Rattus norvegicus: one gene and its partner. The protein of the gene in region 2 purifies or fractionates together with the protein of the main gene of each other region. This does not show direct contact. Links are inferred from orthologs where the notes say so. Each region holds a gene or a part of one and is shown on either strand. Other genes may lie near its edges. The genes, in order: Tnfrsf13b and Camlg.

Region 1 (3,915 bases), on a different chromosome or scaffold from region 2:
AGGAGACCCCCGAGGGTGACAGCAACTGAGGCAGCTCCTTTGGTGGATGGCAGGAAATTCCTCTTGTAGCCTAGACAGGCGCACTGGGCTCAGATGAACACAGAGGTTTCCGCGTACCCTGAAACCCAAGAGTCGGCGGGTCCTACAATTTCTAGAGGCCCCTGACATGCTTGGCTAGACAGCAGGCTCTGCTTCATGGAAGACTGATAAGGTAGATTAGTTTGTAACCCGCTTTTTAAAAGTCAAGACAGCAGCTCGCCCCACACAGGAAGACCTGTCGTGTCTGCAAGGTGGTGCTCAGGCTCCTTAGCAGGACTGACTGTAAGGTCACTTCTTATCCTGTGCAAAGCAGGAGCTCATCAACTGGCGCTTCTCTTCCAAGCCCCAGACTGATGGATTCCTTACCCCTTAGTCCAGGCACCGAGGAAGGCAACTTTGAATTCGTGCACCTTTTAAAAACTGGACACAGGCTGGGAGGCGAGGGTGGCCCACGCCTTTCATCCCAGCACTTGGGAGGCAGAGGCAGGAGGAGCTCTGATTTCAAGGCTGGTCTGTCTACAGAGAGTTTCAGAACAGCCACGGCTACACAGAGAAACCTTGTCTTCTTGAAGAACCAAGCCAAGGAAACAAAAAGCAAAAATAAATCTGGACACAGGACACGTTTGGCTCCTACTGTAAATACCTTGAAAGAGGAAGGAAAGGCTCAGTTTTCGGTACCAGTCAGGTACCGGTGTGAGCGAGCTGGCCTGTACTGCTGTAGAACCAAACACTCAAGACAGTTTTAAGAACACAAGGCCCAAACCACAGCTTTTTGCTATGAATCCAAATACTTCTGGCTTTTTCTTTTTTTAAATAAAGCATTTTTCTATTTGAGTAAAATATAATTGTTATGTGAAATATATTAAGGTGGTTACTTTCATTTTAATGGATCATCATCATCATCGTCATCATCACCATCATCTCATTATCATTATCACCATCACCATCACCATCACCATCACCATCATCACCATCACCATCACCACCACCACCACCACCACCATCATCATCATCATCATCATCATCATCATCATCATGATGTTTTTGAAGCAGGCTCTCACTATGTAGCCCTGGCTTTTCTAAAACTCATTATGTAAACCAAGCTGGTCTCAAACTCCCAGGGATCTGCTTGCCTCTGCCTCACAAGTGCTAGAATTAAAGGTGTGCACCACTACACCTGGCCAGCACTTTTCTATTTTTAATTTCCTCTCTGTCCAGCAACCGTGTCCACCATGGTTCTATATTCCCATCTCTACCTGTCCCCATCTGCCTTCTTATTTTTCTTGGTGATTATTGCTGATAAAGCAGGGCTGCTTATCCTATAATGTGCCTGGGGTAATTTAGAGAGTTTCCTCCAAGGCAGAGAGGTTTTATTGTTAGCTTTTATTGTTAGGGAGAAAACTATGAACAGAAAGAATGTACGCCTATCTCACGATAGTACAAATATAATAAATATTTAAATAATTATTTTAAATTTTAAATTATTTGAAATATTAAAATTAGTCGAAGGATTCTTTTGTTGTTATTGTTTAGTTTTAACTTCCCAGAACTTTTGCTTGTGACTCTTCAAGAGAGTCTGAAGGGTTGAAAGCAGGTTTGTGGATTTGGGGTCCATTTTGTAGAAGAGACTTTTCCGAGATCAAGGGGCAGTGTACAAACTACGAACAAATGGTAACTTGATCTCTCCACCTGTCCCAGCTCTCCCGGCAGCACTAGGAAGCTGCTATGGAATCCGGTCCGTTCTGCCTGATTCCTAATTCCTGGTCCCAGGCCCTCTGACATTTCCTCTTGGGTCAAGGTGGCTCCTGATCACTGACTCTGCATTCTCTGTGAAACTTAATTGCATCCTTGGCAGACATGGTTGCTGGACAGAGATGGAAATCCTAGCGAAGGCCTGCCTGAGGCCAGCTTGGGTATGGGGAGAGGTGGAGCCGCTGTGAGCAAGGGTCCTGATGAGGAACCTCTCCGCCTTGGAGGGAACTCTCTAAATCACCCCAGGCACACTATAGGATAAGCGGCCCTGATTCATCAACGAAAATCAGCAAGAAAAACAAGAAGGCAGATTGGAACAGGTAGAGGTGGAAATACAGAACCCATTTTCTCCTGTGGGCCACGAAGGACTGATTTGAATCTGTCCACCGAGGACGCACACCGTCGGCACTTCTTGCTCAACACCTATGCTCGTTGGCGCTTTGTGATATTAAGAGTTCTTAGAAATTCACGACAGCTAAGTGAGGGCGGAGTTCTAAATGCTGACTCCCGAGGCATCTAAAATCTACCAGATTCACTTCAAAATAATCTGGGGGCACAAGGAGAAAGTCTGGAGCACATGGATAGAAAACAAAGGTTCTTGCCTGTTTGCCTGACCCCACTCCCCCTGGAAGGCAAGACCTGACCCCTGGAGGCTTCTCCGGTGTGCAGGACTGAGGCTGTCCGAAACCTGAGTAGCCTTATCTTGTGCCTGCGGTGGCACTGCTGGATCCCCAGCCCCCGGAGCACCCTCTTGGCCCTCACCCACCACGGCTGGCTACTCACCACGCTCCTGTGCCAACAGCGCCAGCCTCCTGCCTGCCCTGGCCCACACCACTCATTACTCAGGGCGTTTATTATTAGCCTGAGATTTTGTTAGGCCTAGGCCACACTTCCTGGGTTTTCCCCCTTCGACCTGGGGATGTAAATAAGCCGCCCTGTTGACCTGCGCCTGCGCCTGCGCCTTAGTCCAGGGAGTACAGGTGAGCGACCTGTCCCGTTAGCTTAGCAGTGGGGGCTTAGTCCGGTTGTGTTATGACAGGGCTTGGATAATTCTAGATCTTCCCTGCCCAACTCCTAGGCCTGGTTCCTATCCACTGTCCGCTCTCCAGGCTAGGATGCCCACACAGCTCTTGTGCTCCCTGCATAGCCTTCCCTCCTCTTGGACTATTACATTCTTTGTTTCTGCCTGGTCAGTTCATGCTGTCCCTTCTTCAATGCTCAGTTGAAGCGTCACCTCCCCCAGGAAGCCATCTGTGACTGCCCCCAGGACATTAGGTACCAGTGTTCTGTGCAGTCCCTGCAGATTTGGATCTTGCTTCTGGGTCCGATGCCTTGGTAAGGACTTAGGTATAAAGTGACTCGTACCTTCATGCCCTCATCTGGAAAGTGGGTCCTTGAGTCATTGTGAAAATGACACGAGTTCTCACAGTCACTTGATTGTTCTTTGTCTGGTTTTTAGTTCTCTTGGCACAGGTGTCACTAAGCTGGGCAAGGCTGGCTTGAACTCAAGATCTCCCTGCCTCAGACTCCAGAGTGTTGGGAGTTCAGGTGTGCTCCACACCTGGCCACCACAGGTTCATTCTTACAGCACGTTCTCAGTGCACAGTGACTCCTCCAATAAGGGACATGGGCGAATCAGTGCCACAGCCCTGATTACCCTGGGCTTCAACTCCATTTCCGTATACTCCCAGGTCTCGGAATCCTGCAGGGATAAGAAAGCCCAACAGTTGCCCTCCCAAGTTCATTGTAGTGCTGTTCACAGTAGCCCAGATACGAAGTCAATCTGCATGTGTTCAGTGGATGAGTAGATAAGGAAACTGTGGTGTGTGTAAACAATGGGATTCTCTTCATTCTCAATAGAGAGGGAACTCCTACATTTGTATGAATATGGATGGAACTGGAAAACTTTGTGTATAAAAAAGGAAGTTGGGCTGGGTGTGCTGGCACATGCCTTTAATCCCAGGATTTGAGAGACAGAAGCTGGCAGATCTCGGAGTTCTCTTGACTGACCTACAGCGCTAGTCCCAGGACAGCCTGGGCTACACAGAGAAATATTGCCTCAAACAACAAACAAAAGAAGAAGAGATCACAGTCCAGCAGGGATGAGCACAAAGGCTGCCCTTC
Region 2 (3,841 bases):
TGGCATTTCACCCACCAGGCAGGGTGTGGGCTGTCTTCACACAGGAGAAAACAGAGGGCACTTGGTAGTGAGATGCGGTTTATTCAAAGGGTCAGAGATCTGAGAACAAGGTTATACTCCTTGGAAAAACGATTTAACACTCCATGTCAAAAGGGCAGTTTCACAGGGAATGAAACAGTTAATTTTAACTGCTCAAAGTTTGCATTTCCCCGAATACAAATCTGGCTAGTATTGAACGGTTTTAAGTCTGCACTCTTCAGCACCTGAACTGGAGAGCGAACTCAGAACGAACGAGCTATTAACAATATACCTATGCAGAGCAACTTAGAACAAACTACTGGTGCATACTTCAGGCTCTTTTCTAATATAGAATACAAAGTCCTCTACACGGAGATTTAAGCACGCAACAGGGTTGCAAGAGTAGGGAGAAGGGAAGTAGGGAGTGTTGGCAATTTAGACGACAGGGGTACAGAAGAGACTAGGGAAATCTGGCGGAGTGCTGTAAAGAACTAGAATCACCACCGCCACCAAATCCCAGGGCCATGCTCCCTGAAAGCGTCGCACCCGCAATTACGTATCCCAGGAGCAAAGAGACGTTGACTGGTAAAAAGCTCCTGCCGCTGCAACCTCCATTTTGCTTCCTGGCAGAGAATAAAATGGACCTATTCCTCACTGGCATTTCACCCATCAGGAGGGTGTGGTCTCTTCACCTTCGAGAGCAGCTGAGAGGTAAACCTGGTGGTGAAAAACCTCAGCACTGCGAGCCAACTTGGAAGGGAGAACCCTTAAACCTGGCCTGCCCTCACTGAACATGGCGGCAGAGCCTCGTGCAGGCCTTCGGCGCATGCTCACTCCTCAGTCCCCGCCTTCTAGGGGCGGGACTACAGTGGGAGTGGGACCGAACTCTGAGGCCCTGCCTGAAGTCATCCTCGCCTTTACTGTCACCCTGAACCAGGCAGTAGAGAAAGCATGGAGCCGATGCCTTCGGCCACCGACGGCGGGGACAGGTCCGCGACGCCCTCGGGCCTGTCGGCTTCTCAGCGTCGAGCAGAGCTGCGGAGGAGGAAGCTGCTCATGAACTCCGAGCAACGCATCAACCGGATCATGGGCTTTCACAGGCCCGGGAGCGGCGCGGGTGAGAGCTTCGGTTTCCCCGTCTCCCGCCTACCTCTTTGAAAATTCAAGATCCTTCCGTCCCCTCAACTTCCAATCCATTTGACCCCAAAATGCACTCTGACCCAACTCTGTCCCCGCCCCCTAGGTGACGACCCATATTATATTGTCGCTTAGCCCCAGGATGTTCCTTGTTGCTTCCAATTTTCTTGGATCCTCGCCCTGAGATTGTCTCCACCCTGGCCACAAAGCCTTCGTTCCGGAATCTGTGTGTACGGTTATCTGAGACAGCACCTATATTCCTGATTACTCGCCTTTCTTGAAGGCTGCGCATTTTATCCCCATTCTCATTCCATTGCGCCCCCAGGGAGATTTTCATATCCGCTCCAAATGCTTTTCCTTCCAGTTAATCCCCTGACCTAGCTTTTGCCTTTTGCTTTGTAACTCTCGTCCACCACATCAGTCGTTACTCAATTATTGGCTGGTCCGTCCATTGTGGATCAGAGACCCTATGGTCCTATCTTGGTGGCTGTGCTCGGTGCCTTCAACATTGTTACAGGTCTTCGAGGAGAGGGAATACATATGTGCGAGCATTCTTTATAGACCTTCCCGAAAGTTGTGATGCCCCCGCTGAGATTTCCTTTCATTAGCAGAGGTACATCACATTTTAATAACTGCATTTACCCTAAGAAAACTCATCTTTCATGCAATGCAACCTCGTGTTTTCTTATGAACACAATTGAATACAATTATGCTTGACTTCTTTAAGTTTCAGTTTGGGTGTTTCCTTTAGTAATTGGCTTTTTAGTCACTGTTTGCAAGCGTGGTAGAACTCAAGTATTTCTATGAGGCGTTAGAGATGTAGTTCTGAACTTCTAGACAATAGAAATGAGATGTGTGGGTACCACTTTCGAATCATCTGAAACAGTACAGGAAATATTTTTTGTAGTGATCAGTCTGAAGATAGTCTTAAAGTATTGGTGTTTCTCGAGTCCCTTTCCTATTCTGTTCTTTTGCTCTGCAAATTTTTATCACTTTTAGAGTTCTCTCTTTAAAAACTAGAACAGCATCCTAAAAGTGCCAGCTCATGGCTACCCAGGGGATGGCCACCGTGGTTATAGGCACGCCACACCCTGTGCTCACAGCTCTCCCGACTCAGAAATGTAATTGTAAAATAGAAACCTTAAGAGACTTTAATGATTTTGTATTTTTATCAGTATCAGCTAGTGGGAGAAATTGAGGCATATCTCTGGGTATTTTTTTCTGGGAAAGAATTGTTCTTTATTTCTTGGGACAGCCTGTGCTTGATTTGCTTGTTTACTTAGAAGTGGTAGTTTCTGTCCTCAGCGTTTGAACTTCCCTCTGCCAGCCTGCCTTTTTGTGGCGGCCTATTTGAAGGTGGTAGGCGAAAGAGCTAGTTCTGTTTTCTGCATCAGTCTCTATCCTGACTCAGAGACCTAGTTCTAGCAGCAGTGGGAGCGTTTAAGATGTTCGTGGGTATGTAATACACAGAGCTCTTTTTTTTTTTCCCTCCCTCAGAAGAAGAAAATCAAACAAAGTCAAAGCCACTGGACAGTGACATACTGAATCCCCTCGGCGTTCCTTCCGTTTCCAAGAGGGTAGTGCTTGGCGATTCAGTCGATGGAGGAGTAACTGACTACCAGCCCAGTGGTGGCGCCGACATCAGGGGAGCCCAGCTGGGAGACAAACTGGACTCATTCATTAAAGCACCAGAGTGCAGTAGCAAGGATGGAGTTGAGCTTCGGCAGCGGAACAGAGGTGACCTGACGGCAGACTCGGCCCCGAGGGGTTCTCACCACGGCCTAGAACAGTACCTCTCCAGATTCGAAGAAGCAATGAAGTTGCGCAAACAGCTGATCAGCGAGAAGCCCAGCCAGGAAGATGGACGGACGACGGAAGAGTTTGACTCTTTTCGAATATTTCGACTGGTGGGGTGCGCCCTGCTTGCTCTTGTTGTCCGAGCTTTTGTTTGCAAATATTTGGTAAGCCAAGAGCTGCAAGCGATCAGCTAGGAAAACGCAAGTCAAGGTGCCGTGCTAGGGATTTCTTGTCAGCATTACCGGATCTATCCGGCTGCTTGAACGTGTGTTATACGTTCTGTTATTTGTCCCAGTTACAGAATGAGAGCCTATTCGTAGTAATAACTAATGTCTGTAGCACTTTATGTGCTCGTCTTATATTAATTCACTTAAACTCCATCTTTAGGAGCCATGTGTTGTTTGAACCCTCGAAAACTCAGATGAATTCTCTTACCCAAGGTCACAACAGCCGCTGACAGGTGGGGTGAAACCCAGGCAGTTTCGTCCCAGAACCGAAAGTCCAGATGCCTATATGTACTGTGTATTAGCAAGTGATTTCCCAAGTGGTTTGAGATGTTGAAATGTGCTTCTTGCGGTCCTGTGTATAGGCAATAGTCTACCGTTCAGAGATCGATTCTGCAATGCATAATGTAGTAGCATCCTAGCAACAGTGCATTGTGGGACACAGACGAGTGCAGAAAGGCACAGTCTATATAATTCAGTGTCTTGGCTAGAACTTTTCTTTTTAAAGATTTATTTATTATATATAAGTACACTGTCACCATCTTCAGACACACCAGAAGAGGGCATCAGATCCCATTACAGATGGTTGTGAGCCACCATGTGGTTTCTGGGATTTGAACTCAGGACCTCCGGAAGAGCAATTAGTGCTCTTAACCACCGAGCCA

What was found.
Region 1: the proteins of Camlg (region 2) and Tnfrsf13b purify together in Homo sapiens (affinity purification with western blotting; 3 studies listed by BioGRID and IntAct, with this or other methods). This does not show direct contact. The link is inferred for Rattus norvegicus from reciprocal best matches to the Homo sapiens genes CAMLG and TNFRSF13B.

The regions. Positions count from the first base shown.
Region 1 is NC_086028.1:46,300,048-46,303,962, reverse strand, and holds the start of Tnfrsf13b (tumor necrosis factor receptor superfamily member 13B), read right to left. Parts: upstream 2,628-3,915; 5' UTR 2,575-2,627; intron 1-2,574. UniProt on the Homo sapiens protein: Receptor for TNFSF13/APRIL and TNFSF13B/TALL1/BAFF/BLYS that binds both ligands with similar high affinity. Mediates calcineurin-dependent activation of NF-AT, as well as activation of NF-kappa-B and AP-1.
Region 2 is NC_086035.1:9,005,753-9,009,593, reverse strand, and holds the start of Camlg (guided entry of tail-anchored proteins factor CAMLG), read left to right. Parts: upstream 1-885; 5' UTR 886-969; coding exon 970-1,135; intron 1,136-2,652; coding exon 2,653-3,116; intron 3,117-3,841. UniProt on the Homo sapiens protein: Required for the post-translational delivery of tail-anchored (TA) proteins to the endoplasmic reticulum.